Lytechinus pictus: one gene and its partners. The protein of the gene in region 4 binds, or shares a complex with, the protein of the main gene of each other region. Links are inferred from orthologs where the notes say so. Each region holds a gene or a part of one and is shown on either strand. Other genes may lie near its edges. The genes, in order: transmembrane protein 107-like, meckelin-like, tectonic-like complex member MKS1 and transmembrane protein 17-like.

Region 1 (7,881 bases), on a different chromosome or scaffold from region 4:
GAGGAGGAAGAATATGAACAGGAAAGGAGGAAGGGGAGGAGGAGGAGGAAGAGGAGGAACAGGGGGAGGAGGAGGAGAAAGAAGAGGATGAAGAATAAGAACAGGGGGGAGGAGGAGGAGGAGGTGGAGGAGGAAGAAGAGGAGGAGGAGAAAGAAGAGGATGAAGAATAGGAACAGGGGGAGGAAGAAGAGGAGGAAGAATAGGAACAGGGGGAGGAGGAGGAGGGAGAATGAAGAATAGGAACAGGGGGAGGAGGAGGAAGAAGAAGAGGAGGAAGAATATGAACAGGGGAGGAGGAGGAAGAGGAGGAGGAGGAAGAAGAGGAAGAGAAGGATGAGGAAGGAGAGGGGAGGGGAGAGAAAAGGAGTAGAAGGATGTGACAGACACTTACTCACTCTTTCTACTCACAATAAGTAAAAGGAACTGCTCATTTATGTTCACAACATAGAAATTTCATCTCTGCTTAATGTATCAACATAAAAATATCTATTTTCATCTGATGACTACCAATCTGAAATAAATGAAGCTGTTTTCATCACCTGCCATAATATATTCATAATTCATTCATCTGTTTTATTTACCAAGACGAGCATTATCAGAGGATAAAAGACTGTGTCGGGGGAGGGGGGGGGGAGGCTGCAAAATAAGATCAACTAATAAGATATACACAGGGAAATGAAAATACTCACGCCACATCTACTGAATTGTACTCTGTATCTGTGTAGGTTTCAGGTAGGCAGGCTCGTACATTAGCATCCTACAAAAAAAATTGAAAAAGGAAAATAATATAATTGTTTAATATTGATAACATTCATATCTTGTGACATTTTTAGCAAAGTTTTTTTTACGAAAATGGATTGTCTTGCTTTAAATAATAGGAAACTCTTCAGAGGGGTTTTCACAAAGAGGTATATGTAAGTATGATTAAGTCATTTTTTCCACATAAATGAACAAAGTAATGCACATGTATAACCTGACCAATGAGGTGATGTGTATATTTCAAACTCTATTTCCTGTACATTTCCTTAAAAATTTCAATCCAATATGGGAAATCTATCAATTCATTTTTGCAATATCGTCATGTACTTTCACAAAGTTAAAGTCGTTGTAGTCCTCCTCCACCACAACCACCACACCACTTCTAGTTCTTTACTTCTGCTACATTTTACCAATAACACTGTAATCAGTAACAACAAAATGTTAACAATTAATAAGCGAACAATTACTCAGTTGTTCTTAATCTCGTTTCAACTGGAAAAGAATTTTTGTTACCTACCCGTGACCATATGAGAGTGACAGTGATAACCAGATGAGCAATTAGGCACAGGAAACGGGCTGGGATCAGATTTGTTAAAGCCATTAGGATTTAGGACTATCCACCAATTCTACTGGATCATTAAGAACATAAAAGAAGAAATCATACATTACATTTTAAAACATCAAAAATGTTTTTATATACTTTATATACGAATATTCACTGCTAGAGTAAATTCTGAGCTGATTTTATTCTTTGCATGGTATGAAAATGACAATGAGAGCCTGCAGAAAGAAAATCCAAAAAGACAACTTTAGCTTAAAGTAAAAGATTTAATTTCATTATCTATTCATTTATTTCCATCAACTCCCAATAAAATTATCCTAATGTTAGAATTAGAAAGTAAAAGATCTAACTTAGCCCTAATAGTATTTTCAAAGATAGAATCAACAGCAAGAAAAACAATATCTTCAGATACCAGAGAACTACACGTCTACACCAGTTACACAGCAAAATTAAAAGGAATATAAATAATTATGGAATAAGAATCCTACCAAGTACCAAGACGACGTCACAATGTCATGAAAAAATTTCCAAACGTTCAATTTTTTTGCCTTTTTTCAGCTCAAATCAAATACGTGATTTTAAGCTGTGCCTGGTGAAATTTGGCTCAAAATCAAATTAAATTGTAAAAAATTACATTAAATAGTTTTGCCAAGGCCAAGCCATGGCTAAAAGTAAGAAATTGCAAAACGCCCTGGCCTTGGCAATGCCAGCCAGGGCCAAATTCAAATTAACCCAGGGAAGTCCCGCCCGCTGTGCGGGCGGGAGCCCAGGGGCTTACCGTGTATTTGACCATACTCACGGGACTAGCGTGATTTATGGTCTAAATATTTCTCCAAATGAATTGTGAAAACAGAAATTATGCACTTACCACGATTATATGGATGAAGGTCTAACGAGTGGCAGTTTCCTGACATCGCGGCACAGACTGGAACTTCAAAAAAAACGAAAAGTTCTCTCCTTCTACCCCAGTCTCGATCGGCCATTTTGTTACGATTCATAACAAAAATGGCCGATCGAGACGGGGGTAGAAGGAGAGAACTTTTCGTTTTTTTTAAGTTCCAGTCTGTGCCTCGATGTCAGGAAACTGCCACTCGTTAGACTTTCATCCATATAAATTAATCGTGGTAAGTGCATAATTTCTGTTTTCACAATTCATTTGGAGAAATATTATTATTCAGACCATAAATCACGCTAGTCCCGTGAGTATGGTCAAATACACAGTAAGCCCCTGGGCTCCGGCCCGCTGTGCGGGCCGGAGCTCCCTGGGTTAAATTCAAATAAGACTTTATAATAAGAGGACCATCACCCAGAGGCTCGTCCACGCACCGCCGGTTTGGCCGGTGACAGCAGCGGAGCTTCCCCGTTCCGAATCGTCTTGACCCTGCCCTGGCTAAGCTGGGAAGCTGAGCCTCTGAGTCTGGGGCCCTGTCTCTATCCCGAGTGATATGTTTCTGTGATGACTGTATTAAGGCTCAAATCTAAAAAAAAATCTAAAATACTTACCTAGGGCGTTTGCAAGTGGATTTAGACCCTTTTATTCAGCTGCTTGAATCCAAATCTGGATCGTGAAACCATGGACGCTCACACTTTTCGACAGGAGCAGGGATTTGTTTCACAAAAGATTTGTAAGTGTAAGTTCGCAACCTTATGTTGGTTGCATACGCGAGTTTCTATCGATAATATCAGAAGCTAGATTTAGGACGAGTTTGAGAAACCGTTCCCGGAAGTTAATGATCGGACAAAGTTCACGGAGCTTCGGTTTCCCATTGATGATGTTGGAACTTGTGTGTAAGTGCCACGTTTGATAAATTTAAATCGAAAATACCATGGTAAGTTGTTATCTTTTATTTAATAATTTTCCATTATTTAAGTGGATAATTGTGTGTTTGTAAAACTATTCACGAATGGAGGGTGTGGACACGGAGTATAATTGAGTAAAAAGATGTTGATTTGTCTTTTTTTTCGTCGCGGCGGAGATGGCCGATGCTTATGGAGTTTTTCTAGCCTCATCCTTACCATGGCATGGGCCGTTCCGCTGGGGGAGACGACGGGCACTGTACCCATTGAAGCAGACGCACGTAGCCGTAGCTACATTGTAGGGCCAGGTAGCCGCTTGTGCATTTCAATCATTTGTGAAGGCCTGAGCTGAGGCAGAAGAAGAGGTCATTGACATTATAATTGGACTGAAGATTAAACATGAAATTTGTTAATATTCTATGAAAGTTTTGGCCGGTGTGAAATTAAAGTTTAAACTGCATTATTAGAAATAGAAATTACTTGGAATGATTAGAATTAATTTTAGATCTAGAAAATCATTTGTCATTTAGTGCCAAACTAAGGCAAAGTTCATGAAGTTTCATTGAAATTTGATATGCCCTAACTCCTAAGTAATTCTTGCAAAGTGTGCCGGGCAAGAATTATTGTTGGCTTGAGCAAGAACAGAATAAATATTATTTTACAAAAAAACGCAGCCTGTAGTACACTGCATACTGTAGAGTAGTGTAACTATTTATTGTAAAGTTAGAGTTAGACCTAACGAAAGCCAAAAAGGTGTTCAGTTTCAACATTGGCAATTGGTAACGTTGCCCGTTGGCAATTTTCATGAATTCACAATTTTCTTTTATGCCCAAGATTCGACATGTTAAGCTCTTCTGCAATTTTTTTTGTTCTAAAATTTCTTTTCACAAAATGATATTTGCACCAATGTTTGTTAAATATATTTGTCTATCTTTAATTGCAAATTTGCAATGTTCATTTTCAATTTCCATCTGAATAATACATAAAATCTTGAAATGTATCGCCATGTTTCGATTCGACATCCCCTGCCCTTCGTACGACATAGCGCATCGCGCGCTCAAAAATGCAAGGCGAGAGCCGCTGAATTGCGCCGCATCGCATGCGATGTGCAACCCAGAAGTTGCAGCGGTCATTCGCTCACGCATTGCGATCGGGGCCCCTGTCGAATGAAGGCGACCTGCAAGCATGCCTTGACTTCAAAGAATTCTGTGCAAATTCAATGCCGTTGAATTTTTCTTTCTTTTTCTTTTTTGATTGGAAATTTTGAAGATACGATCCTAAATTTGCGAGAAAGTTATCGTACTCGGAGCAGAACCAAGGATTTCTTTATTTTTGACACATTTTTCGGCGACCCCGCTTCTTAAATCTGAGCTAAGCCGCCAAATGCTCTGGATATATGGTGAATATTCCGCATTTCAAGGGAAATTTTTGACATTTTAAAGGGGATTTTTTTTTGTTAAAATCAGGACTTTTTGGTGGCAAGTGATAGTGCCTATGTTTATAAAAATGTGTTTGGTGTGTGTTTTTGTGACTGTGCTGGCTTGTGAAATAGGTTTGCCATGTCGAATCTCGGCACTTGTCGAATTTTGGGCGTGTTACTCTATTTAATTTCACTCTTACTTTTTGAGTAATCTTGTGACAAAGTAACAAAACAGTTTAGTTCTGTCCTTTGAACTGCAGATGATTAGTGTGAGATAGATATCATAGACTTAGATCCTTATTTCTTTCAAGAGTGGTTACTTTCATTGTTGTCAAGTAACATGATCCCGAGTTATATAAAGCTCTGTGATGGTTTTGAAATTTTTATCAAGCAGGGGGGTGTTTCACAAAGTTTTAAGTATGACTTAGAGTCGCACTTAAATACCAAGTTGCGTACGGTATGAAAGACTTGACCGCATTGGCCATATCGTGTCATGAGGACGCGCACTACTGCGTATTTATTATCAATAAGATCGCATATCATGTACGTGTCGGCATTTAAGTGCGACTCAAGTCATACTTAAATCTTTGTGAAACGCCCCCCAGGGGGCCGTTTCATAAAGCTGATCATCAGTCAAGAGCGACTTTAAGAACGACTGGTGATCCTTTCTTGTGGTAAATGATATTGACCATTAAATGTTCATTGGTGATTATTTAGAGTGTAAGAAAGTTTCACCAGTCGTTCTTAAAGTCACTCTTAGAGGACTATTCCACCTGAACAAAAAGTTGATTTGAATAAAAAGAGAAAAAAATACAACAAGCATAACACTGAAAATTTCATCAAAATCGGATGTAAAATAAGAAAGTTATGACATTTTAAAAATTTGCTTATTTTCACAAAACAGTCATATGTACATCCTGATCGGTATGCAAATGAGGAGACTGATGACGTCATCCACTCACTATTTCTTTTGTAGTTTATTGTATGAAATATTCTAACTTTCTTCTCATTGTCAAGTGAAACAACAATTAATTCCTCCCTGAACATGTGGAGTTATCATTATTTAATACTATATGATTTAGTCAAGTTGGTCCTTATTGTCAAATCTATAAATAATGAAATATTGTATAATTCAAACAATAAGAAACAAAAGAAATAGTGAGTGAGGGACATCATCGACAGTCCCATTTGAGTTGTGCATATCACTGTTTTGTGAAAAGTAAGCAAAACTTTAAAATGTCATAACTTTCTTATTTGACATCCGATTTTGATGAAATTTTCAGCATTATGCTAGTTTGATTTTTCTCAATTTATTCAAATCAACATTTTTGTGGGGTGGACTTGACCTTTAACTTACGAACAGCTTTATGAACTCCCACCTTGTGTGTTATTCTTACTAATCTCTGATGAAAATTTCAAAAAGACTCTTTCTCTGCTCAGGGCCCGGTACAGTATGTAACAAAAAGCTTTGATAGTGATTGATCAAGGGGCTGATTTTACGAGTAATCAATGGAATAAATCATAAAATTAGATATTAGCCCCATGATCAGTCGCTAAGCTTTCTAACCCATGGATTGCTGTGTTAAATTACACTTGATCTTGTGTACCCTCAGATAATGTTTGAGATGCAATGTTTTTTGCTCGTTATTGTTCCAGGCTGCACAAAAGATTTCTAAGTTTTGACTAGATGCTGCAAAGTGCAAATGGCTTTGGTCATTTTGTGATATTAGAAATTCATTTTCTTGATTGCAAACAGGGATAGACAGACCACTTATTTTCAAATGAGAATTTTTATCAGAACTTCTTATTTTGACCCATGCCTTATCATTTTAGTACACTGTATCCTACAGGAATTTGCATTTGTAAACATTTTATAATTATGTTCATTCCTTTTTTTTATTCACATGACAGCCTCTTAGATTGGATATAAAGGTAAGAAATCTATTTCCACCTTTTTCTGTTGTTGTTTTTTGCAGTAACACAATGCATGTTTTGAAAATATATCTTTATCATTGAAAGCCAAAATCAGTGTATACTATGCACCTGTAATAAATTACTAATTTTAGTGAAACATGTGAATATTTTATGTGATAAAAATATCATGTATTTTTTCAAGCAAGGGTTTAAGATTTTTGAGGATTTTTTTAAATTAAAAGAATATTAATATTTTATGAAATTTGGACTTATCAATCATGAGTAATGCTATTCTTGTACAATTTGGGTTTCTTATTTTGGGGGAATTTTTTTTTCCCCATGCATGTTAAATGTGAGTGTGACATAGTCAAAGAAAATTGATCACATACTTCAGTAAACTTTAAGAAAATTACATGAAGTCTTTGACACCCCTCTGCAAACCAATTACATAACTGCATGTTTTGAAACAATATCTCAAAAAAGATCTCTGTTTCTACTTCGTAAAGTCCTTTATCTACTCCTAATCTGTTTGTTCGTTCGTTCCTGACTTTGTTACAATGTGATAAGTACGACATGTATATAAAAGCAGTATATGATAATTATATCTGTATATATTTCCCCTTCAGCGAAAGCTTTCAGCACGGTCTGACCGTGTAAAGTGCGTTGACCTTCATCCATCTGAGCCATGGATGCTTGTCAGTTTGTACAATGGTAACGTACATGTATGGAACCATGAATCACAGGTGAGAAAAAAAAATATTGTACTTAAAGGTAAATTGTGTCATTGGTTTATTTCAAAACTTTCTTTTAAATTTCACTCTTTGCTTTCCACGATATTCATAAACAAGTTCTGAGTCCATACAATGTATTGCATTGGCTAGAAAGAACTGTTTTTATTCTCAAAAAAATATATAAAGATGAGAAGATTTGCCGAGTGAGCTTTTTTTTATTTATTTTTAAAACTAACATAAAAAATGAAGAGCGCCACCTTGAGACCAAATTACATCAATACCTGCTCATGAATATTCATATCTCTAGCTCTCGCCTCTGCGCGAGTCTCAATCAAGTGCCGATGCACGGTAATGGGCATGGGCGGGTACGGAGTCTGTACACCGTGAATGCACGGGTTTCTTTCCCGGTTTCTATTGCATTTCGTAGAAAGCGTGTATATTGAAAACAAAGTCTGACGGCTTTTTCCTTGCTTGCATCTTTGCTTCGTTGATCTGTATTGTTTCTCTATTTCTCCAGGGTATGGAGGGACGGAGGGAGGGAGAAAGGTGCTTGTGAAAGCCAAGGGAGACAGGGCTATATTCTTATTTATTATATTTTTTCTAGTTCTTTATATGTATTTTTGTTTTTTTTCCGATTCACTGAATTGTTATCATTTTCTTCAGGTTCTGTATTTTGATGTGTTCATTATTATCACGT
Region 2 (7,797 bases), about 7.0 Mb from region 4:
CTGACAGTGTAAAAAAATCAAGCATTTGTCCCAACGAAAAGAGAAAATAAGCCAAACATTGCCAACTTTATTTTGCCACACATGGAGATGTAACTGAGAACAAGGTTATATCATAACCTTGTTCATTGAATGAGTGTGTCCCACTGCACTTACAGATATGCAAAGAGGATGTAAAAAAATCTTGCAATCCGTTGGAAAACGCTATGCATCCGCTGTGTACTCATTGCATAGGTGTTTCATATGCTCTATCCATTGAGCATCCGTCCACCCAGATTTCATCCAAGCAAAAAATTTTGAGCTACACAAAACTTTTCGAGCAAATGAACTTTCCGTCGTGTACAATGCGAATCCGCAACATTTACTGGCAGCAAAAGTTCCGTGTCCGTTATCATCCATTTAACGTCGGCTGTATCCTTTCTGCATCCTCTGGGCATCTTCATTTGGATGGATGGATACAATATGATATAGCATTTTGATGCTGATCTCCGATAAAAGTTGACAAAAAAGAAGATAAAGAAACTAGAATTCTATTCTCTAATGCATTACAAGCACCATAACTGTACACACTGTTCTACCTATGAGCCAAAGTTGATCAAAAGGCAAAGCAAAGGCAAGCTCAATTGGCAACCCTGACAAAATAAAAAGCAGTGAATATCAAAACTTTTTGCACTTACATATCGGTATTTAAGTTCAGATTTAAAAAGAAGAAAATAACTGGCCATTACTGTGTAGATTTAACTATGAATTGATGAGTCTACAAATTGATAAAATTAGTTTGAAAAAAAAAGAGTAAAGACTAAATGGCCCAAATATCAGACAGTTCCAAATATTGGATGAAAATTACTTCAACTCCCTCTCTACATGTAGGCTACAACTATGCTGTCTATTCATACGGTGCGTTTGGGTGTGCGAGGTTAGTTAGTATAGATCTAGACCAAAAGCTTCGGTCTCTGTTATGTTGGTTGTTCAGCTGAACTCCGTTGGCTTCACTCACCAAATACAGAGACCGAAGTTCTAGCGCGATCTATACAGGGGACTCAATGGCCATATGTTTATGTGTATTAAGTTCGGATAAAACAGGGCAGTGAAGTTGCGCGACAGCCGAGGTAAGTCACTGTTTTTGTTCCTTTTAACTTGATTTTCCCCGTTTTTGGCAATCAATGCCAAGAGGGAATATTAATTTGCATTTCGGTCGCGTTAATTTTCAAAAAATTGATTCATTAAAGACAAAAATTGAAGAGCCCCGACGGGGGGATTTTGCATTGTAAGTCCCCTAATGGTGGCTGCACGATAGCGAGCCGTCTGTGTATGAGGAGAAATTTAAAAAATAACAAAAATGTTAAAAAACTCCTCGAAACAGACGGCTGCCAGCTGTCTAGTATAGATCTAGCTAACCTCGCAAGAGCGTATTGGGTCACACAACGTATCGTAATTCGTACATAAGGTCCCCCAACTTGTCTGCGCAGTCCCCCTTGTGGTGGAAAAATAATGAATTTCAGGACAGCCTCAAATTTCTCAAAATGCAGCCTTTCTCATAAAAAATCCCTGAATCATGTGCAAAGTGAATGGGTGTGCAGACATGGGGTAGACCCTGCCAATTTTTTTTCAATAATCAATCTGAATGACTGCCAGCTGCCCGAGGTTTTTCCCACTCCTAGTACCAATGAGGTCCAACATTACATGTATGGACCTCATAGGCGACATCAGTAGTATTTTTGGTTAGAAATCTCTGAGAACAGGATATTTATATATTATATCACAAGTACAAGCTATATTCCTTTCTCTTATTTAAATTATAATTTTATAGTGTAAATGCATCGTTAGCAACAACAAAAAATGAAAGAAATGAAGGGGAACTTACATTTTCACGGCTTTTTCCTGATTTTCTGGGCAGCTGCTCTTCTCTTCTGACTCGCGATCGAAGCTGATATGAAGATCACGTGATTCGCGTTCTCGTCAGCTGATCGGTTGGTTATTCTTTTCGTCAGACGTTAATAATATATATTTTATAATGCTAGCATTCATCGCTAATTTAGGTGAAAGAGATTGAAGTTAAACAGCGCCAGGTCGGAATCATAATTATTTTGGAAGAGTGTATTTATACACTCGATCTCATACCTGACGTAGACGGCGCTATTCAACAAATGCACAATCTTCAATATAAAAAATAAAACAGAAAGAACGCCTTGAACACAGGCCAAAATGCCTAACGATTTCTCCGCGGCATTAACAACTATCGTAAAGGGCGCTCCATTTATCAATAAAGATGGATGCTAAGCTGTCTATGGCGACAAAATTTGCCGCAAATATTTACGAAGAATTGTGAGAAATGGTCTGAAAATGCAACAAAAGAACCGGTGAGTACCGATTAAACATTATTAAAGTTGTAAATAGATTATACATACCTTGTAGATTTAGTTTTTAAGGTGATATTAGTGCTTAGTTCTAAGCTAGGGAGGCTCAAACGCGCGTGAGTGGAGTCCCAGTTTATTAGCACGGGTAAGTATTGGGGTGTCGCCTAGAGTGGTTTTTCCAACTCATCCAAATTCCTGGCTATATTTCTTTAATTTTTATGAGATATTTGGTAGGGCCTACACTTACTCATAATAATATAAGGAACATTACTAACTGAAAGACTTTGTGAAATAAAAAGAAATCCATGTTCATAACTTAAATCTTAACTCAAATTAGGTGCGCAGACTTGGCCCAAGTCTTGGGGAATGGGGACCACCATCAGGCATCACACCAGCAATTAATTGAACATGTCGGACTGTCCACAAATGTATAACAAATAGTCTTACCATCAACGGTAGGTTCTTGGTTGTCTCCACAAGGATCACATCTTAATTCTGCTATATTGTAGTATTCTCCATTAGCTATACATTGTTGTACGGTCGTGTAAGGGAATGGATTGGTTGAATTGACCTCCATTACCCAGAAAATGAGAAGAAAATATATCGCAAATCTTTTAATCGGCGACATTTTTGGCATCACGTTTCCAAGGATCCGGCCGGCTAGGCGCGGCGGCGAGACCGCATGACTGGACCGACATACCCCATTATGGAATCGAGGCCGGTCTGGCCCTGGAATCGTGGGGCTGGATTGTGGGGGCTGGATTGTGGGGCTGGATTGTGGGGCTGGAATCGTGGGGCTGGGGGGGGGGGGGGCAAAACATAATTTACTACTAAGCTACGCTTTTTGTTACTTTTCTTCGTGCTTTCTTCCCTCTTTTCCCCTTTTCTCATTTTTTTTCTCCTCACCTTGATATCGACATCATCATTCATTTTCATCATAATCATCATCACTATTCTTCTCTTTTATCCGATCATAATTTAGATCATTTTATTATAATTAGCCTCACCATCATCATCATCAAACATCACTATTCTTCTCTTTTATCAATATCAATATCATAATATAGATTAACGTTTCATTATCATTAGCCTTAATTACCATCATCATTATCATCATCATCACCAACACCATCATTACCATCATCATCATCATATTCATCATCACCCTCACCATCCTTACCACCAGCTTACCGCCATTATCGTCATCATCAATCATCATTATTCTTGTCTTTGATAAATATCATGATACAGGTTAACAATGTTATTTAAAAAAATGTACATTATGATTGTTGAGCTTTACGTAATAATGAATAATTTCATACATTTCATTCAATCAGGGGTAAAATTTGGCAACCAATTAGTATTTTATTTCATAATATTTTTTTTATATAACATTAATTATGAAAAAACTGGTATGCCAGAACAAATGAACAAAAGTTGATGAGGCAAAATCAAGCAATCTTTCTTTGCTGGACAACAGTACATAATGCCATAATGTCATTATCATAAATCACACAATACACTTAAACAAGAGAATAATGGAAATTATATAACAAGAGTCATTATAATTATCAAAATTTTGTGAAGCATTTCCTCTCGTCTGACTTTTTCAATGGGACAATTGTTGCAAATCGGAGTAAAGCCTGATGAAGGCATCATCACCACACAATGTTTTCAAATTCAGTGGTAAAATCTGGCAACAAATTAGTATTTTACTTCATAATCAGTGGCGGACCGTGACCCCAAGGAGACAAATGATTGGAGGGGCACTGTATTCTTTGTGAACAATACTGTGCCCCTCCAATGCTTTGTCTCCTCTGGGTCACAGTCCGCCACTGTTCATAATATTTTTTTTAAGTTACATTAATTATGAAAAAACTGGAATGCCAGAACAAATGAACAAAAGTTGATGAGGCAAAATGAAATGTATTTCAAGCAACCTTTCTTTACTGGACAACAGTACATAATGTCAGTGTCATTATCATAAATCACACAAGACACTGAAATAAAGAGGATAATGGAAATTATATAATAAGGGTCATTATATCTATCAGAATGATGTAAAGTATTTCCTCTCGTCTGACTTTTTCAATGGGACAATTGTTGTTAATTGGAGAAGTGTCTGATCGGAGTAGATCAGGGCATCATTACCACAATGTTTGCAAATCAATCACAAAGACGGTAATGACCATTAATTAGGACCATTGTTGTATATGAATATTTTTCAACATATCCACTATAAACCAAAAAAAATTGTCTTTGAAATTTTCAACCAATAAAAAAAACATAAGGAACATTTTCCTGTGGAAAATTGCAAATGGAAAAGCCTTGAGCATGCCTTTACTTACTACCACTTTACATTTTAAAGGGATGCTCCAGGCTGAAATTTATATGATTCAAACAGGTAAAGAAAAATCAGACAAACAAAACACTGAAAATTTGGTTAAAATCGGACAATGAATAACAAAGTTATGGCAATTTAAAGATTTGCATTATTCCAGTGAAACAGTTCTAGGCATGTCTTCATGAATATTCAATGAGCAAATTGATGATGTCATTATCCCCACTTGTTTTTTTTTTTATTTTATTATATGAAATTAGGTTTTTCAAATTTTTTCTACCAAGAACTTAAAAAATTGGATTGACAACTGATTTAATGAAATTTATTGCTGCAACTTATTTCATTATAAAGGAGACACATTGTTCACACATGTGTGAAAAATGAAACAATTATGATTTCATGTAATAACAAAAGGAAAGTGGGGATGTGACATCATCAGCCCACCTAATGAATATTCATGATGATGTATGTAACTTTTTTTTACAAAATATTGCTAAACTTTAAAATTCAATAACTTTGTTATTTGTTATCCGATTTTGATGAATTTTTCAACATTTTGCTCTGTGAATTTTACTCTATTTATTTCGATATATTTTCAGCCCGGAGTACCCCTTTAAAGGGATGAATTGGATGGTTTAAAAAGGATTGTGTACATGTGCAATTATTCAGAGGGTTATGCAACAAGTCAAATAACTTACTACGGCAGTGCGTATTAAAGACGTACTTGAAAGAAGCATTACAAGATATACAAAGTTTAGCAGAACAACAACATGTTGCTCTGCCCGTGCATACTACACATGTAACTTGCCAAGGCATTTTTAAAAATTAAGATCAATTGAACCAAAGAATGTCAATTTTGTTGATGATTTATTTATCTTTAGATGAAATTACACTTCATTGTTACAGAATAAAATCCTCCATATTCATGATTATGATTGGTTTATACTTAAGGGGAAAATTTGGGGCAAGAAAAATCCATTAGTACTTGAGTTTCAGAGATAATTTGCATAAAACATTATTTGCACTCTTTCATAGTTCACAATTCATGATAATACATTCAGAAATGTTTTTATTCAGTATAGAGAATATCTCACACTAAACATATTTTCTGTAAGAAAAATAAAATAACTAGGTCACTTTATTCTAAAACTACCACAGTTAAATGTAGATAGTAGAAAATCTTCTGAACAGGCGAAGGAGCTTCTTTTTTCCATATCAATTCATATGACTCATGAACTATGTGTATTTCCACCACAAATGCAGAATATGCAAAGTTCAAATGAGGAATTCAATAAGTTATTGGACATGATTATAAAAATAGCCAAATAGCCCATCGAAAGGAGGATGGCAAATGAAGCAAGAATATGTACCGGTACACTGCAACCAACAGTTAGATGTAATGGTAAATTGCCAATTCGTCCACTGCCAACTCATCCACTTACCACATGGTCTGCCTTCATTTAGTCTAATGCCATTCCGTCCATCAACATTTCGTCTAACAACCATTTGGTCCAATAACCATTTGGTCCAATCATCACTTAGTCTAATCACCAGTTCGTCTATTACCATTTCGTCTAATAACCAGTTGGTCTAATACCCATTTTCTTTTCATTCACTTTGCACAATTAACATTTTAGTTTAATAAAGACCAAATGGTATATGGACAAAATGGCTATTGGACCAACTCGTTATTCGACGGAATGGCATTGGACTAAATGAAAGTACACCATGTGGTCAGTGGACGAAATGGTAGACCAAATGGTAGTAGACGAGTTGGCAATTGGAAGAAGTGGCATTCGACAAATTGGAAATAAAGTGATGTAATTGGGTAATTAATGTCAATGCAAGAAAGGAAGTTTGTATCAATTCAAAATACACAATCAATTTAACCAATAAGAGACTGACTGAAATGAAATCTTTGAAATTTTTATAAATCTCAAGCATGCATATATATGTGTGCTCAGTCTCCAACAGCTACGGGTCAATTCTTTGAATCACATTCGGTGAAGGACTCTTGTACTGAACAGGTATGTAAGTTTCGGCAGGCTGGGGGTTTCTTTCAAAAGCAGATACCCGACAATCGACTGGCAGATCGAGCGCAAAAGCTCATATACTACTTCAGAGGTTGACTGACTGATCATTTCTGAATTCACTTCTCATTCCATTTAGGCCATTGTAGATCAGCAAATGTCCGGGTGTCCATGCGATCAATGTATAAAGTTCCCTGAAGATGATCATATTCATGCTGTATGATCCTTGCTGGGTACCCACTGACACGCCAAGTAACTGGCTCTGCTTTCTCATTTAGACCTGCATTTCAAAATGAAAGGAAACTATTACTAGTAGTATTATCCATACAAACAAAGGGTAAATTGCCAATTCATCAACTCATGCACTCACCAAATGGTCTACCTTCATTTAGTCAAATGCCATTCCGCCCATCAATATTTCGTCTAACAACCATTTGGTCTAATCATCAATTTATCTAATCACCAGTTCGTCTATGACCATTCCGTCTCATAACCCGTTGGTCTAATATTTGTTTTAATTTCATTAATTTTGCCCAATTAATACTTAGTCTAATTAGACCAAATGGTATATGGACTAAATAGCTATTGGACCAATGGATCATTAGACGAAATGGTGAGGGGAGGAATTGGCAACTAGATCATTGGCATTGGACCAAATGAAAACAAACCAAAGCAAAGATATATTCCTATTATTTAACAAATTGAAACTGTGTGTGATAGATGCTTATTCAGGATCATAGAATTACAAACATACATAATAATAATAATAATTACTTCTTATTATTACTTGCAATATATTGAACATGTTAAAACAAATGAGATTTAAGCATCTTCTTAAACACATCAATAGAAGAACATTGTCTAAGTTTATGGGGTAATCTATTCCAATATTTGGGGGCAAACACAGAAAAAGACCTATCACCTACTGATTTGTTCGGGGGATGTGAAGAGGGATATGTGATGATGACCGAGTGTTGTACATTGATTGGTGAACTGTTAGGAGGTCTGACAGGTATAATGGAGCTTGATCATTGAGACATTTGAATGTGATAGTCAGAGACTTATGCTCAAT
Region 3 (6,928 bases), about 2.5 Mb from region 4:
TTGTTCGTTTTCTATTATTATTTGTGTGTTGTGTTTATTTTTCTTGAAGCACCAAAAGGTGGACATGTCCGCTAAGATATATTAACGAAGTCACCATTATTATCACAAGCTAACGGATCAAAATGCGAGCGTGAAACGTGAGCTTCTTTTTTTCTTAATTCAGTCTTAACGATACTTTTTCATCATATTTTAAAGGTGAATCTCATGATTCAAAATGATAAATGCTTGTCGCACGGGCAGAAATAGCGGGACCAATAGTTATTTTCAATATTCCGAACTGCATTCTGGACATTGTATAAGCGCCTTTGTATAACAATTAAAAGGGTAGGCCTATTTACCTTACAAATTATGCGAGCGCTGAACTTTTGGACATTTAAACCTCAACAAATGGACATTTTAAAAATATGAACAACATCATAAATGTCACTTACAAAAATGATGCCAGCGCGAAGCTCGCGCTTAGAGTTTTTGATATTGATGACAGGACTGTATCTAAATGAAAAATAATGCAAGGGCATTTGCGCTTAAGATTTAAATTTGGGATTTGAAAAGTCCGACAGATTACCTATACTTTTAAAAGAGGAATGACCTCCAGAATTCAAGCGCGAAGCGCCAGTAGATTTATGTTGAAGTTTAGACCTAGAACAGGGACGTTGAACCTTTATAATCATGAAAAAGATGGTATTTTTATAAATAAAACATGGGAGTCTAATTTTTTTTAGTGTTAATATTCAGATCTTCAAACTTGACATTTTCCTATCCCCTTCATCATCCCCTCTCCTTCTCCCTTTCCCCATTTTCGTTCTCCCTTCTTTTCTTCTCTCCCTTTCCCTTCCCTTTTCCTTTCCCTTCTTTTATTTCCTTTCTCCCTCCCCTACTCTTTTCTCGCTCTTTCCATTTTTCTTTCCCTCTCCCTTCCCCTCTTCCTTTCTTTTGTTTTCTTTCTATTTTATGGTCTCCTTTTCCCTCTCTCTCCTTTACCTTTCCCCCTCCCCTGATCTGTCTTTTCTTGTCTCTCCTTCCCTTTCCCGCCCCCTCCATTCCCTTTCTCGCTTTTTCCTTTCTCTTCTTTTCTTTCCTTTCTCCCTCCCCTACTCTTTTCTCGCTCTTTCCATTTTTCTTTCCCTCTCCCTTCCCCTCTTCCTTTCTTTTGTTTTCTTTCTATTTTATGGTCTCCTTTTCCCTCTCTCTCCTTTACCTTTCCCCCTCCCCTGATCTGTCTTTCATTGTCTCTCCTTTCCTTTCCCGCCCCCTCCATTCCCTTTCTCGCTTTTTCCTTTCCCTTCTTTTCTTTCCTTTCTCCCTCCCCTACGACTTGAATCGAGAATGTTCGATAGGAAAATTTCGCATTTCGATTGTTGTTTGCGTAATTTCCACCGCAGTATGAGGATGACCAAGGACGGACCGAACGAAGTATCCTGGTTGAGATTTGGAGGTAAGCGATAAAAACACCTTAATAAATAATTTATAATTCCTTTTTCAAATATACTTAAATCATACGATCAAGATTAACATAATAATGATAGTGGACAAATATTGAAAGGCTTGGCGTAGTTTAGTCCCTCACATTCGTGTGATGAATGAAAACGTCAAAATGCACTATGAAATCACATGTGTTGTGCGAGGTTAGTAATAGGCCCTACTAATAGTCACTCCTAGTACCAATGAGGTCCAACATTACATGTATGGACCTCATAGGCGACATCAGTAGTATTTTGTGTCAGAAATCTTTGTGAAGATGATTATTTTTGTATTTTATCAAAACTACAAGCTATCGTACTGTCTAATCATTACATTTCGATCTCACTAATTGAATACATTGTTAGCAATAAAAAAATTGAAAGAAATGAAGGGGAACTTACATTTTCACGGCTTTTTCCTGATTTTCTGGGCAACTGCTCTTCTCTTCTGACTCGCGATCGAAGCTGATATGAAGATCACGTGATTCGCGTTCTCGTCAGCTGATCGGTTGGTTATTCTTTTCGTCAGACGTTAATAATATATATTTTATAATGCTAGCATTCATCGCTAATTTAGGTGAAAGAGATTGAAGTTAAACAGCGCCAGGTCGGAATCATAATTATTTTGGAAGAGTGTATTTATACACTCGATCTCATACCTGACGTAGACGGCGCTATTCAACAAATGCACAATCTATTTAAAAATAAAACAGAAAGAACGCCTTGAACACAGGCCAAAATGCCTAACGATTTCTCCGCGGCATTAACAACTATCGTAAAGGGCGCTCCATTTATCAATAAAGATGGATGCTAAGCTGTCTATGGCGACAAAATTTGCCGCAAATATTTACGAAGAATTGTGAGAAATGGTCTGAAAATGCAACAAAAGAACCGGTGAGTACCGATTAAACATTATCAATTTATTTAATAGAACATATTTAATTACTACAATGTAACGATTTCTAGATAATATTGCTTAGTTCTAAGCTAGGGAGGCCCAAACGCGCGTGAGCGGAGTCCCACTTTATTAGCACGGGTAAGTATTGGGGTGTCGCCTAGAGTGCTAATAGTATAGTATACTAACCTCGCATGTTGTGTGAGTGGCCAAGTCAAGCCAGGAATCTGCAAAGACAAGTGGAGGGATCAGCTCACACTAAGAGAGAGAGTTGCATGCGTCGTGCCTTGATTTTCCCGTGCATAGCGGCATATAATAAACCATTGGGCCTTGGCTTGAGTGGTCAAAGCCAGGCAGACGCCAAAATCATTACCCTTTCGATTTACCACACATCGAAACTAACGTATGGGACAACGCATTATTGACCTATCCGGCTATAATTCCAATTCCACTTATCTGCCCATTATATCTTAATTTCGACCATTCTCTCGAATTATCTATTTCCAAGTAACCAATTAACCGATCGTAACAATGTCAAATTCCCCAAAGGCCTAGTTCTAATCAAAACGTTACCTGCGTGCTAGCTGTTCGACCTTTTCAAGTTAATCAGAAATGTTTCTTCGACCAGCATTTATGCATGGACGTAATACAAATGCTCCGATCCGGATATGATCCGGCGACCGATCCGAGGCTAGGTAATGCAAATAGTTTGCCCGCATGGTGGCAGCATAGCAGAAGATCGTATAGTGAGCTCTAGCTTCTTTTTTTTTTTTTTTTTATCACTTTCATGATTTTGTCCACTGAGCTGGGTATATTTCCAATTCAGTGATTATCTCAAGATACACTGTCAGCTGTCAAAAGATATACAGTTAATTTTTCTGTCTTCTCTGCTTTCAACAAAATGATTTAATTTCCAGCATGATATTTTGTATCAAAGTTCGTCATGTTTATTTTCTTATTTTTATATTTTTGTTTATATCATTGATATTTCCATGTTAAAGGACAGGTCCACCAAAAAGATGTTGATTTTAATCAATATAGAAAAATGAAACAAGCATAACGCTGAAAATTTCATCAAAATCGATATCGAAAATGAAATAAGAAAAGTTGTGACATTGAAAGTTTCACTTGCCACAAAACATGCACAACTCACGATATGCAAAGGAGAGTCGACGATGTCCATCACTCACTATTTGATCTCTTTTTATTTCTTTTTTATTCATGCAGATTTGTCATTATGGGACCAATTTTACTAAACCATATAATTTTAAAACAATCAGAATAAAACGGGAATAAAATTTCACAGGACAATGAAGAGAAAATTAGAATATCTCATAATTTCATATAATAATAATAATAATAAAAGAAAGTGATTGGGTGACGTCATCGTTCCCCTTATTTGCATACCAAACAGGATGTGCATATAACTGTGTTATGAAATTAAGAGAAACTTTAAAATGGCATAAGCTTGTTAGAATTTCCTTAATTTTTATCAAACTCAACTTTTTGTTGGGGTGCCCCTGTCCTTTAAAATATATTTCTTCATGAAGGTCAATAAGCTGTCACGAAGCACAGCGAATTGTCGTTCTCATAATAATGGGGGAGCATAAAATTTCACCCATATTTTATTTACCCCAATCGGCCGCACAAATTTGAATTTGTTCGTTTCTAAAACAACATAAATATATAATAATCTCATAAGCCCTAATTAAATAGTGGGAGCCGAGCGCGAAGCGCGAGCTAATTTTGGGGAAAATTTCAAAAATTGAACTTTCTGAGCAATGTTTGTGATACTGAACCAGATGCGTGTACTGCGAGCGCGAAGCACGATCAGATTTTTATAATTCACGTTCTGGCATGATCGAAAAGGGACCTGTTAAGGATCGACTGTTTGTAGTTACCCATGAAGATTATATATATTTCAACAATCAAATAATGCGAGCTGAAAAAATTTGTCATTCGGACCTAAAGGCTATATCTGCTCTCTTTTGTTGGCCTCTCAATTCTCATAAATGTTTTTTGTAGGTTGTGACGATGTTTTACTTATGAATCTTTTGTATGTTTTTTTTTTCATGTTTTTATGGAGAATGTAGATAAATATTGAATTGAAACCTGGACATTCTAGGCACTTTTTGTAATCATGAAGAGGAAGTATATAAGTAAATAATTGATAATTGCGAAGCGCGAGCCGAAAAAAATAGATTTAGACCTAAAAACGGGACACTATTCATGTTTTGTAAATCATGAAAAGGATCTCCCATGGTTGGATCCGGGGGGGGGGGGCGAAATTTTGAATTTTATATAGTGACTGAAAGATTTATGTTGACATATTATTGTTGGGAGCTAACAGTGAATGAGAACATTTTCAAGATTTAAAGAACGACAAGCTGTTTTGGAGCACTTTGCAGATTTATTGGGATGCTTATGACAACATTAACTACACATCTTTTTTTTATTCTTCAAAATTTCGGGGGGGGGGCAAGTGGGGGCCAACTCGTTGGGGGCAAATGCCCCCGTGCCTCCCTCTTGGTGTCGTCACTGGTCCGGGGCGGAGCCCCTGGAACCTCGCGATATTTTTAAACATTGATGGCTACTTTATTATCAAACCTCGTGCGTACTTCATAACAGTTGCGGATACACGAAATATTTTGAGGCAGCACAACATAGCAAATGTGGTAAAATTGATAAAAAGTTGCCAGTGAGCGAAGCGAGCAAGAAAATTTTGGCGTTTTATTAAAAAAAATTGAAATTAAATTCTAATTATGTGATAATAGCTTTGAAAATTTAGCCAAAGTAAACATTGAAAGGCTAGTTTGTACGGTAAATCTAGCAGGCGTAAAACTTTACTATCGACATAGGGGATATAACTAACTCTTGGCTAAGGACTATTTTGTCCTGATTGCGACCATTATTACATAAAATTTAGCAAGCTTATATATACGCCAACCACCTTTCTTCCCGTTCTTTATATTTTTTAATCCTCGGCAGCCCGGTCGTGTTATTAGGTTCTTTTCTTCTTGTTTTCTTGTCTCTTTTCTCAGGGGCCGTGGAACGGTTTTCAAAGTGGGGGGGGGGGGGCTGACCATGCTAAAAATCACAATCATATGGTAATTTTTACGTTTTTGTACACGGTTTTGGAAAAAAGTGGGGGGGGGGGCGGCTGAAGCCCCCCCAGCCCCCCCCCCCCGGTTCCGCGGCCCCTGTACTTTCTTCATATTCTGATTTATCAATTTAGCTTTGGGCTCTACCTTCATTTCCCGTTTCTTTTTGCCTCTTTCTCTCATTTTCCCGCCATTCTTGCCTGTACCATTGAGTCATGTCTTTCATTTTATATCCCTCTCTTGCTTATCATGCTAATGTCTTAATATCAAAAGATAATTTGTACTTTCTTAAGTGTTCTTTCATTCCTTTGCCCGCTTTCCTTCCATTTTCTCTATTTATGTTCTTTCTTTCTGTCCCTTTCTTTTCACTTTTTCCCTTTCTCTTTCTCTTTCCTTTCTCCCTTTCTCTTTCTCTTTCCTTTTTCCCCTTTTTCTTTCTTTCCCTTTCCCTTTCTCCCTTTTCTCCTTTTCCCCGTTTTCCCCCGGTTTAATCCGCCAGGGGGGGGGGGAGCTTGCCCCCCTGCCTCCCCCGCCTATGTTACGTTACGTTATGTTTGAAACATTTATCGCAATACGTGAAGGTTCCCGGATTTGTGAAATGGGAGAGAGGATCATCCCTCATCAATATACTACTATACGTATTGATATAACTACTACTACTACTACTACTACTACTACTACTACTACTACTACTACTACTACTACTACTACTACTACTCACTAGCGTACCTACGGGGGGGGGGGCAAAGGGGACAGTCTGCCCCCCCCCCTGACGAGCCACAACCCATGCAAAACACGTATCCCTGCCCCCCCCTGACGAGCTTGAAGACCTTTATTGCCCCCCCCTGACGAGCTTGAAGCCTTTTTTTTTTTTTTTTTTTTTTTTTTTTTTTTTTTGCTTGTCAAATTTTTTTCTGGTACGAAATCCTTCATTTGTGATTGAAGACCTTTTTTTTTTTTTTTTTTTTTTTTTTTTTTGCTTGTCAAATTTTTTGGCGGACGGTTTTGCCCCCCCTGTGAAAAATCCCAGGTACGCCACTGCTACTACTACTACTACTACTACTACTACTATACTACTACTACACCAACTATTACTATACTACTACTACTACTACTACTACTACTTCTACTACTACTACTACTACTACTATACTACTACTACCACTACTACTACTACTTCTACTACTACATACTACTACTACTACTACTACTACTAATATTACTATACTACTACTACTACTACTACTACTACTATACTACTACTACTACTACTACTACTACTACTATACTACTACTACCACTACTACTACTACTTCTATTACTACATACTACTACTACTACTACTACTACTACTACTACTACTAATATTACTATACTACTTCTACTACTACTACTACTACTATACTACTATACTATACTACTACTACTACTATACGTACTACTACACCACCACCGCCACCACCACCACTACT
Region 4 (7,739 bases):
CCTGCAAGAAACACAGAAATTATCGATATTTAGGGCAAAAATTATAAATTACTTTTTAAATCTATCTCTAAGCATGCCCACAATTTCATTTCATTTATTTATGTGTCCATAAACATGTACAGGGGCAGATCTATCTTTTTCCAAGGATGGTTTTACTGAGAAACTTGACAAGAATACAAGCCCCCCAAAAAGGGTTTCACTACAACTTACTACAAAATGAAAGTCATTTTGATCCCAAAAAATTTGAAAAGCACAAAAAAGTAGTTGGCTTAAAAAGTAGGTCATTCCTTTTTTTTTATTTGCAGCCTGCCTATGGGGGGGGGGGCATTTAACCCCCCATACCCTGTAGATTCGCCACTGCATGTCACAAAGATTAGCAAATTATTTTTACTCTCCAGAAGCACACAGAATTACAGTTATCGCCGTATGCTATTCTTTCAGTCTTAATACAGGAATAATCACTTTTCTTACTCTTAAAAATTATTTTAATATTTCAGACATTTTTTCTACCATCCAAGAGCAAATGAACATATGTAGAACCTAGTTCAGCAAAACAACTTTTGATGTAGTCTTGTAGATCTACAGAAACTCTACTAAGCACAAGAGGTTATCAGTTATCACAATTCTGTGATAGACATTCCGCATTCAAATTACACAGATGCTAGCTCGGTAATGGTACAGGGCCTAGCGCATTTGATGTATGATTATGAGGATGATCTCGTAGCATGTGCATGCACCATGAACCTACAACATGACTGGGCGAAATTTTAGTAGATTTGAAACTGAAATTTGACTTGAGTCGGACTTCTGTCGAACGTTAGAGTAGAGACTAGAGTGTTAGTTCATGACAGTGACAGTGTCTCCTGGATCAGGGGCGGATCCAGCCTTTGCCAATGGGGGGGGGCAGATTTTTTTTCAGCCACATTTTCCCCGATCGGCTGCTCAAAATTATGTATTTTGTACTAAAATTTATACATTCTGGGCAATGTTTGTGATCCTAAATGAGATGTGTATCTAACTAAATTACTGCGAGCACAAAGCGCGAGCAGAATTTTTTAATATCCTTTTTGATCTGATAAAATATCATGTTTTTAATAACAGCTGCTTGCAGTTACCCATGAAGATGTTACATATTTCAACAATTAAATAATGTGAGCTGAAAATAAGCGTGAGCTGGAAATTTTGACATTTCTACCTGAAGAATGGAAATTCTAAGCACACTTTTTGTAATCGTGAAAAGGATAAGTATATAATTAAATAATTGATGCGAGCTTGAAGCACGAGCGGAAAAATTCGAGATTTACACCTAAAAATGGGACACTCTATTCAAGTTTTTTAAATTATGAAAAGGATGAGTAATTGGAAATCTTCCTATAATGCGAGCGTAAAGCGCGAGCAGAAAATTTTTGATATTGTGATCTGAAACTGGATAATGATTCAAATAGAGAAGAAGATTTTGGCCTAAAATCTGGGCATTCTAAATACCCTTTTTTGTCATGAAAATCAATAAGGCGATATTCCAATCTGAAAAAGAGTCAATTTAAGCTCTGTATTTCAAGCACTTTATAGGAAAATTGTGAGGTGGATATGGATCACAGTTAAAAAAGAGCTGATAAGTTTCATTATTATCACTTTGAGTTTTGATATAGGACATTCTAAGGACATTATGTCATATGAAAATGATCACTATCTTCCTATTTCTTTTCCTAAGCACAAGATGAAACTTGTCGATATTCCATTCTGAAAAAAAGGGACAATTTGATTACTCAATCAATATCTTATTCATTAATCTAATAAGCCTAATGAGAGTGAGAAATCTGTTGATATTATGGCCTGAAAACTGGACATTTAATGCACTTTTGTAATTATGAATAAGATGCATGAGTTAATATATTTCAACAATCAATGCGAGCGCAAATCACGAGCCAAAATTTTTGATAAACTGTCATGAAATGGGAATTATATGTTATAGAATTAATATTGAGAAATACATAACTCACCAATCAAAATGTGAGCGTGCAGCGCTAGCTGATACGTTATGGCTATCTGACCTGAATAGGGATAGTTTGAGAACTTTATGGAATACAGGAAAATAATAGGTACACCTGACGAATTTGCAAGCACGCAACGCGAGCAGAAAATTTTAATATTCAGACCATAAAACATACATTTTTACAGAGCACTTTATAAAAATCAATTTGTAAATCAAATAAAAACAATGAAAGTTCATTTTCCAAGCTGAAATGTGATTTGTATATTGACTTCAAAATTTGATATTTTAAGCTCCATATTAAGCAAGATATGTCAATCACCTAAAAAACAATGCGAGCACGAGCACGAAGCGCCAGCAAAAAATTTAGGCCTATAATAGGAAAACATGAAATATTTTTAAAAATTATTTTTCAAGTCTTCACCTCATCTTATTTTATTTACTCGTCTTCCTCCTCTTATGTTTCCCCTTCTTTATTCTCCTCTCTTCCCTTTTTTTTCTTTCTTTCCCCCTTTTTTTGCTCCGCCAATAGGGGGGGGGGCCCGGGCCCCCTGGATCCCCCTAAAAAAATTGCGCAGATACACGTATGCACAGACTGGGGGGACCAAACCTTATGTTAGCATAGACAAGACAGATATATAGCCTAGATTATTGATATACACTAAAAGTAAAATGTGATGCGAGGTTCGTTACATACAGACGAACTGATCATTGTTCATGATATTGATAAATTAATAAACCGTCCGCAGATCTATCACTAGACCTACAGCAAATCGAATGTATGGGGCTACATAAACGAATTCGCTCTAAAAATTATTTCTTGTGCTCACCAGGTTTTAGCATATGATGCTGGCGCTTTACAGCATTTCGAGTTGGAAATACAGCTTCTGTAAACGACGTCAATTTCTGCCTCATATAATCACCAGCCATGTTTATTATGGGAATTTTAATTTTTCTTCGAATTCGCGACGCTAACCCGACCGGACACCTTTTCGTTGTTGTTGGTATTTTGTTTCGTTTTTAAAGCGTAAGGTGTCTCTTAATTGAATAAATACCGAATCGCAAATTGTTTCGGTTTCTCCATTTTTACTTATTTTTATTTGGCCTATATATACAATCAGTTAATTTAATCGTTATCTTTAGCTAAATGCTAGCGCTGGCAACTTCTATTTAAATTAATATCGAAAAAATACAGGAAAAATAGACCAGTTTAGAGAATATTAAGGCAGGAATGAGGACCACAGAAAAGTCAATAATTTAAACTTTTGAAAGTAGGCCTATATCCTATAAGATACTGAGAGAAAAGCTGCAACGAAAATAATTCATTTTATCTCTTCTATTTTTTCGTCTTTCGCCTTTTATTTTCATTTTTTTTCTTTTCCTCTATATTTTCATCTGTTACTTCGATTCTGCCACCTTTCTCCATTTCATCAACTCTTTTTCTTTTTTCTTTGTTGGCAGCATTTTAGAAAAAAAATGTGTCACACACCCCACTCGTATACCGACGCCACTTAGGCCTACTGTGTATAAATGATTCACATTGAGACGCTTGTTGGATTTTCAAAACTGACCGTTTTTATGCATGTTTACAGAATTCATCACAAAAAAAGATATATCAGAAATCGCAAAAATTGATTATTGTAGCGCAGCAACAGATTAAAAATATGTTTAAAAAAAATATAGGACCGTATTACGTTATGTACATTAATAGAGGCAATTCGTTTTTTAAAAGACTGAAATTCTGCTCTATTTGGCAAGTAATGTTGTTTTCACCTATTTATTTCAAGAAGGAAAGAGTACTTATAATTTTGAAGTATTCAAATACCTTTTTCTTCAAGTTTCCTTTATTTCATTTCGACTCAACAAATTACACAAATATGAAATAATATCCATACAAATCAATACAAGGGAATACTATGTATAAGCAATATATCAATACAAGGGAAATAGATAAATGTTTTCGGTAAGCCATAAACAATAATCATAATATGATATATACCATGATGGTAAAACGAAATGTAGAACAATCTCGATTTAACATCTGCAAGGCTATTTTAATATAACTTTTTAATAGAATAAAAGTTGAGGAATTGGAGGTATCAACTGAAAAGCAGGGCTTGTTAAATGTGGATCCCTTAAAGAATTGGATAAAAGATCAGTACGAGTATCATACGAGAAGGAGGGGTGGGAATAAATAAAGTTGATGTGATGATTGGTAAATGGAATATGGAGTTGATGGAAGGAGAATGAAAGAAAGAAAAGAAACCGAAAGGATAGGGTGGTGCTTAGGTTGTCGGTAAAAGAGGAAGAGGGGAAAGGGAGAAAAAGGGAGAGAGAAAGAGAGAGAAAAAAAAGAGGGGAGGAAGGAAGACAAAGCTGGCTACCGATCGCTTTTTCTTTTTTTAGCTTCATTTAAAACAATTCAAACTAGCGGCATTTATAATGTCATTGCTGAGAGAATTCCGGTATTTAGGACCGTAAAAAGTCATTAGAAACAATTTGCAGATTAGAACTATAAAAGCACTTCAGTACTCAGATTAGCCAACATTAAAAAATTGATAAATAGAGCATAGGCCTACATATTGATTAAAAGTGTACAGGATTGCAGGCCAAATAATTTTGATTCACTCTTACAAACCAATTTCTATTAAACACATATACAATACAATGCAGTTATATAAATGATGCATTATCATATAAACATTTATATATATATATATATAAATGTATATATATATGTGTATATAACTATATATATGTATAACTATATATATATATAAAACTATAACTATAACTATATATATATATATATATACAAACATATATATATATATATATATATATATATATATATATATATATATATATGCAAACATATATATATGTACAGTATGATCAAACTTGTTACATCACATGAAGGGGTATAATATTATTAACAGAAAACAGTCATTCAAAAAATTCATTGCTTTTCCGTCTACCTTTACATTTATATATTTACCTTTATATATATACATATATATATATATATATATATATATATATATATATATATATATATATATATATATATATATATCAGTATCATTAAAAAATAATCCAAATCTAAGGGTATATTCTTATTCCTTTGCCAAATGAAGCGGCGCGATGGCGGACACTGTAGTGTCAGAGTGCACTCTACTTTTTATTGACTTTTTACTCGACTTCAAACGATAGGTGGAGGTGTGTGTTTGAGCGTTTCCTTTCAGCCTGTATAATCGTCACGGCTGTATATCACATTTTAAAGGTTGATCAATCAATCAGTCAATTTTTACCACAGTCAATAATCTAGGCCCACTTACTTAGCCGAATCACACTTAAATAAAGAGAATATCTTCTCAGAAACATAGACCGACAAACTGTATTAAGTTACCGTCATTTTCGCTTTTATTCATTTTGAATTTGACATTAATTTGTATACTATTTCGTTTCTTTAACTTTTCAATTTTGTTTACTTCAATTTTTCTATTGTTAATATTATTTTTGCATTATTTTTTTTCTTTGATCAATTTTGTAAAGTCAATTTCATTTTTGTTTTATTTGCATTCAGTTGTTCACGGCCTTGTTGAAAAAGCAGCTTTTAGCTGGAAGCAGGCTTTTTAACCGTGATTAAATGAATAAAATACAAATTTAAATAATTTGTGTGTGTGTGTGTGTGTGCGGTGTGTATATGAGTGTGTGCGTTTTTGTGTGGGTGAGTGTTGGCGAGACGATGATGTTGGAATGTGGGTGTATTTGCCTGAGAATGTGCCTATATTGTGTGAGGAGTAAGGATATATATTGCAAATAATCTTGACTAAATGATTCCGATTCTGCGGATGGGTAATTAAAGGGCTTTGTATCATTCATTCTTCCAGGATATTCTTGATGGTGGTCGGGATCTTAAGCCGTGGAAGGCCGAGTTCGGCAGACATTCAGAGGCACTAGCGTACCTAAGGGGGGGGGGGGCAGGGGGAGACTGCCCCCTGACGAGTCACAACTCATGCAGGGGACGTATCCCTGCCCCCCTGACGAGTCACAACTGATACAGGTTGTGGTTGAAGACTTTTTTTTTTTTTTTGCTTGTCAAATTTTTTTTCTGGTAAGAAATCCTTTATTTTTGGTTGAAGACCTTTTTTTTTTGCTTGTCAAATTTTTTCGCAGACAAAATATCCTCCAGAAAATTTGCCCCTCCCCTTCTGGAAAATCCTAGGTACGCCAGTGTTCAGAGGTAAGATTTTCGAGCTATCAATGATGACGGAATGTCTTGGACATTGGTGCAACCTGTGAAATATAAAATAAATACAATATGTGAAACACAGACATCTGATTAGTACCGCACAAGCTTTGGTTTTAAACCCACACAACTTGAGGACCTCACTAAGCATTTTACATCAATGGTTAATATGGTGTTAGTTTGACACCCACTATGATACTGTAATTACCGGTTGTCATTTAAAAAACTGTTTTTAGCTCAAACTTCGTATTTGAAAATCTTGTACCTCTTATACATCGTACAGCTTTTACAGTGTAGGCCCGGAGTGTAGGCTGACCAGCCGAGCTGCAACTCTGTGATTTCGGAATGGCATGCATACTAGACCTACTCTGAAATCGTATCAATACTGCACTTTTTTTTTTTTTTTTTTTTTTGGGGGGGGGGTAAGGGGGCTGCGCCCACTGTTCTCAGTGTGTGCAAAAATTCTCATCACCTCCACACATACACACACTACACACACACACACACACATACCGATTCACTTGGATCGATTTCCATTTGGACCTCATGGAAGATAATAGAGTGGTGGGCCTTCCAACCAAATCTGTTTTCCTTTTACCTTTTTTCCTGAAACATTTTTGTATATTTTTATATACAAAAATATAATTGTATATATTCTTTAATGACACAAATTAATGAATAAATATATAAAAACAATACCCCCATGAACCTGCATCATACTAAATGACTTAACAATGCGAAATGTAAAACTGACCTGAAATGCCCAGAGCAGAGTCCAATTCAAACCGTAAGATCGATAATACCTTATTGACTCCATCTGCACCCTGCGTATAAAGTAACGAATTGCAAAATTATATGAATGGAATTATACCAAGTCGTAATAATTATGTTATAGATTTAACATGAAATTAGAGCAGTATTTCATGACTTCTACATGTGTAGTAACTTTAATCAGATGTTCCTCTGTATATCTCAGTTTAAGGTATAAAGCAGGGGCGGATCCAGGATTATCCAAAAGGGGGGCACATTTTCCCGAGAAAAAATTGAAGAGCAACATAATAATAAAAAAATATATAAAAATAAATGTCTTCACTTCGGTCCGTATGAACGGCGTATTTCCATTAAAGATATACCTTTCAAAGGGGGGGGGGGCACACTTGTGTAAGAACATTTACTTTAAAAATGTTGATTATGGCTCTCAATGGGCCATGGCCCTGGGAAGCGGGGGTGCCGCGAAGCGGGGGTCTCGGGACCAATTTGACTTCCATTTAGTAGTGATTTTTTTTTTTTTGCTTTTCAAATTCACATCAGCACCCTTAACAACCCCCACTAAAATAATCGTTCCCAGGGCCCTGCCAATGGGGGGGGGGGGCACACCCGGATCCGCCACTGGAATAAAGTACTTATCGTCGGAATAGAATACAGTACCTAGCGAGTCCAAGTATAAGTGGCTACATCTAGCAACACGTATGGTATGAATGATTCGAGAGATTTGAT

Evidence for each region.
Region 1: transmembrane protein 17-like (region 4) and transmembrane protein 107-like share a complex: the UniProt entries of both Homo sapiens proteins name them as parts of the tectonic-like complex. The link is inferred for Lytechinus pictus from reciprocal best matches to the Homo sapiens genes TMEM17 and TMEM107.
Region 2: transmembrane protein 17-like (region 4) and meckelin-like share a complex: the UniProt entries of both Homo sapiens proteins name them as parts of the tectonic-like complex. The link is inferred for Lytechinus pictus from reciprocal best matches to the Homo sapiens genes TMEM17 and TMEM67.
Region 3: transmembrane protein 17-like (region 4) and tectonic-like complex member MKS1 share a complex: the UniProt entries of both Homo sapiens proteins name them as parts of the tectonic-like complex. The link is inferred for Lytechinus pictus from reciprocal best matches to the Homo sapiens genes TMEM17 and MKS1.

What each region holds. Positions count from the first base shown.
Region 1 is NC_087258.1:18,218,336-18,226,216, reverse strand, and holds the start of transmembrane protein 107-like, read right to left. Parts: upstream 3,014-7,881; 5' UTR 2,826-3,013; exon of another isoform or gene 2,678-2,825; intron 1,390-2,677; exon of another isoform or gene 1,387-1,389; 5' UTR 1,362-1,386; coding exon 1,278-1,361; intron 759-1,277; coding exon 691-758; intron 1-690. UniProt on the Homo sapiens protein: Plays a role in cilia formation and embryonic patterning. Requires for normal Sonic hedgehog (Shh) signaling in the neural tube and acts in combination with GLI2 and GLI3 to pattern ventral and intermediate neuronal cell types.
Region 2 is NC_087246.1:22,606,246-22,614,042, forward strand, and holds the start of meckelin-like, read right to left. Parts: upstream 3,002-7,797; 5' UTR 2,992-3,001; coding exon 2,802-2,991; intron 1-2,801. Other genes in the region: peptide deformylase, mitochondrial-like, read right to left, coding at 6,845-7,005. UniProt on the Homo sapiens protein: Required for ciliary structure and function. Part of the tectonic-like complex which is required for tissue-specific ciliogenesis and may regulate ciliary membrane composition.
Region 3 is NC_087246.1:13,141,942-13,148,869, reverse strand, and holds the start of tectonic-like complex member MKS1, read right to left. Parts: upstream 3,014-6,928; 5' UTR 2,929-3,013; intron 1-2,928. UniProt on the Homo sapiens protein: Component of the tectonic-like complex, a complex localized at the transition zone of primary cilia and acting as a barrier that prevents diffusion of transmembrane proteins between the cilia and plasma membranes.
Region 4 is NC_087246.1:15,643,868-15,651,606, reverse strand, and holds the start of transmembrane protein 17-like, read right to left. Parts: upstream 3,018-7,739; 5' UTR 2,921-3,017; coding exon 2,821-2,920; intron 2-2,820; coding exon 1-1. Other genes in the region: 2-Hydroxyacid oxidase 1-like, read right to left, coding at 6,231-6,289, 6,997-7,066. UniProt on the Homo sapiens protein: Transmembrane component of the tectonic-like complex, a complex localized at the transition zone of primary cilia and acting as a barrier that prevents diffusion of transmembrane proteins between the cilia and plasma membranes.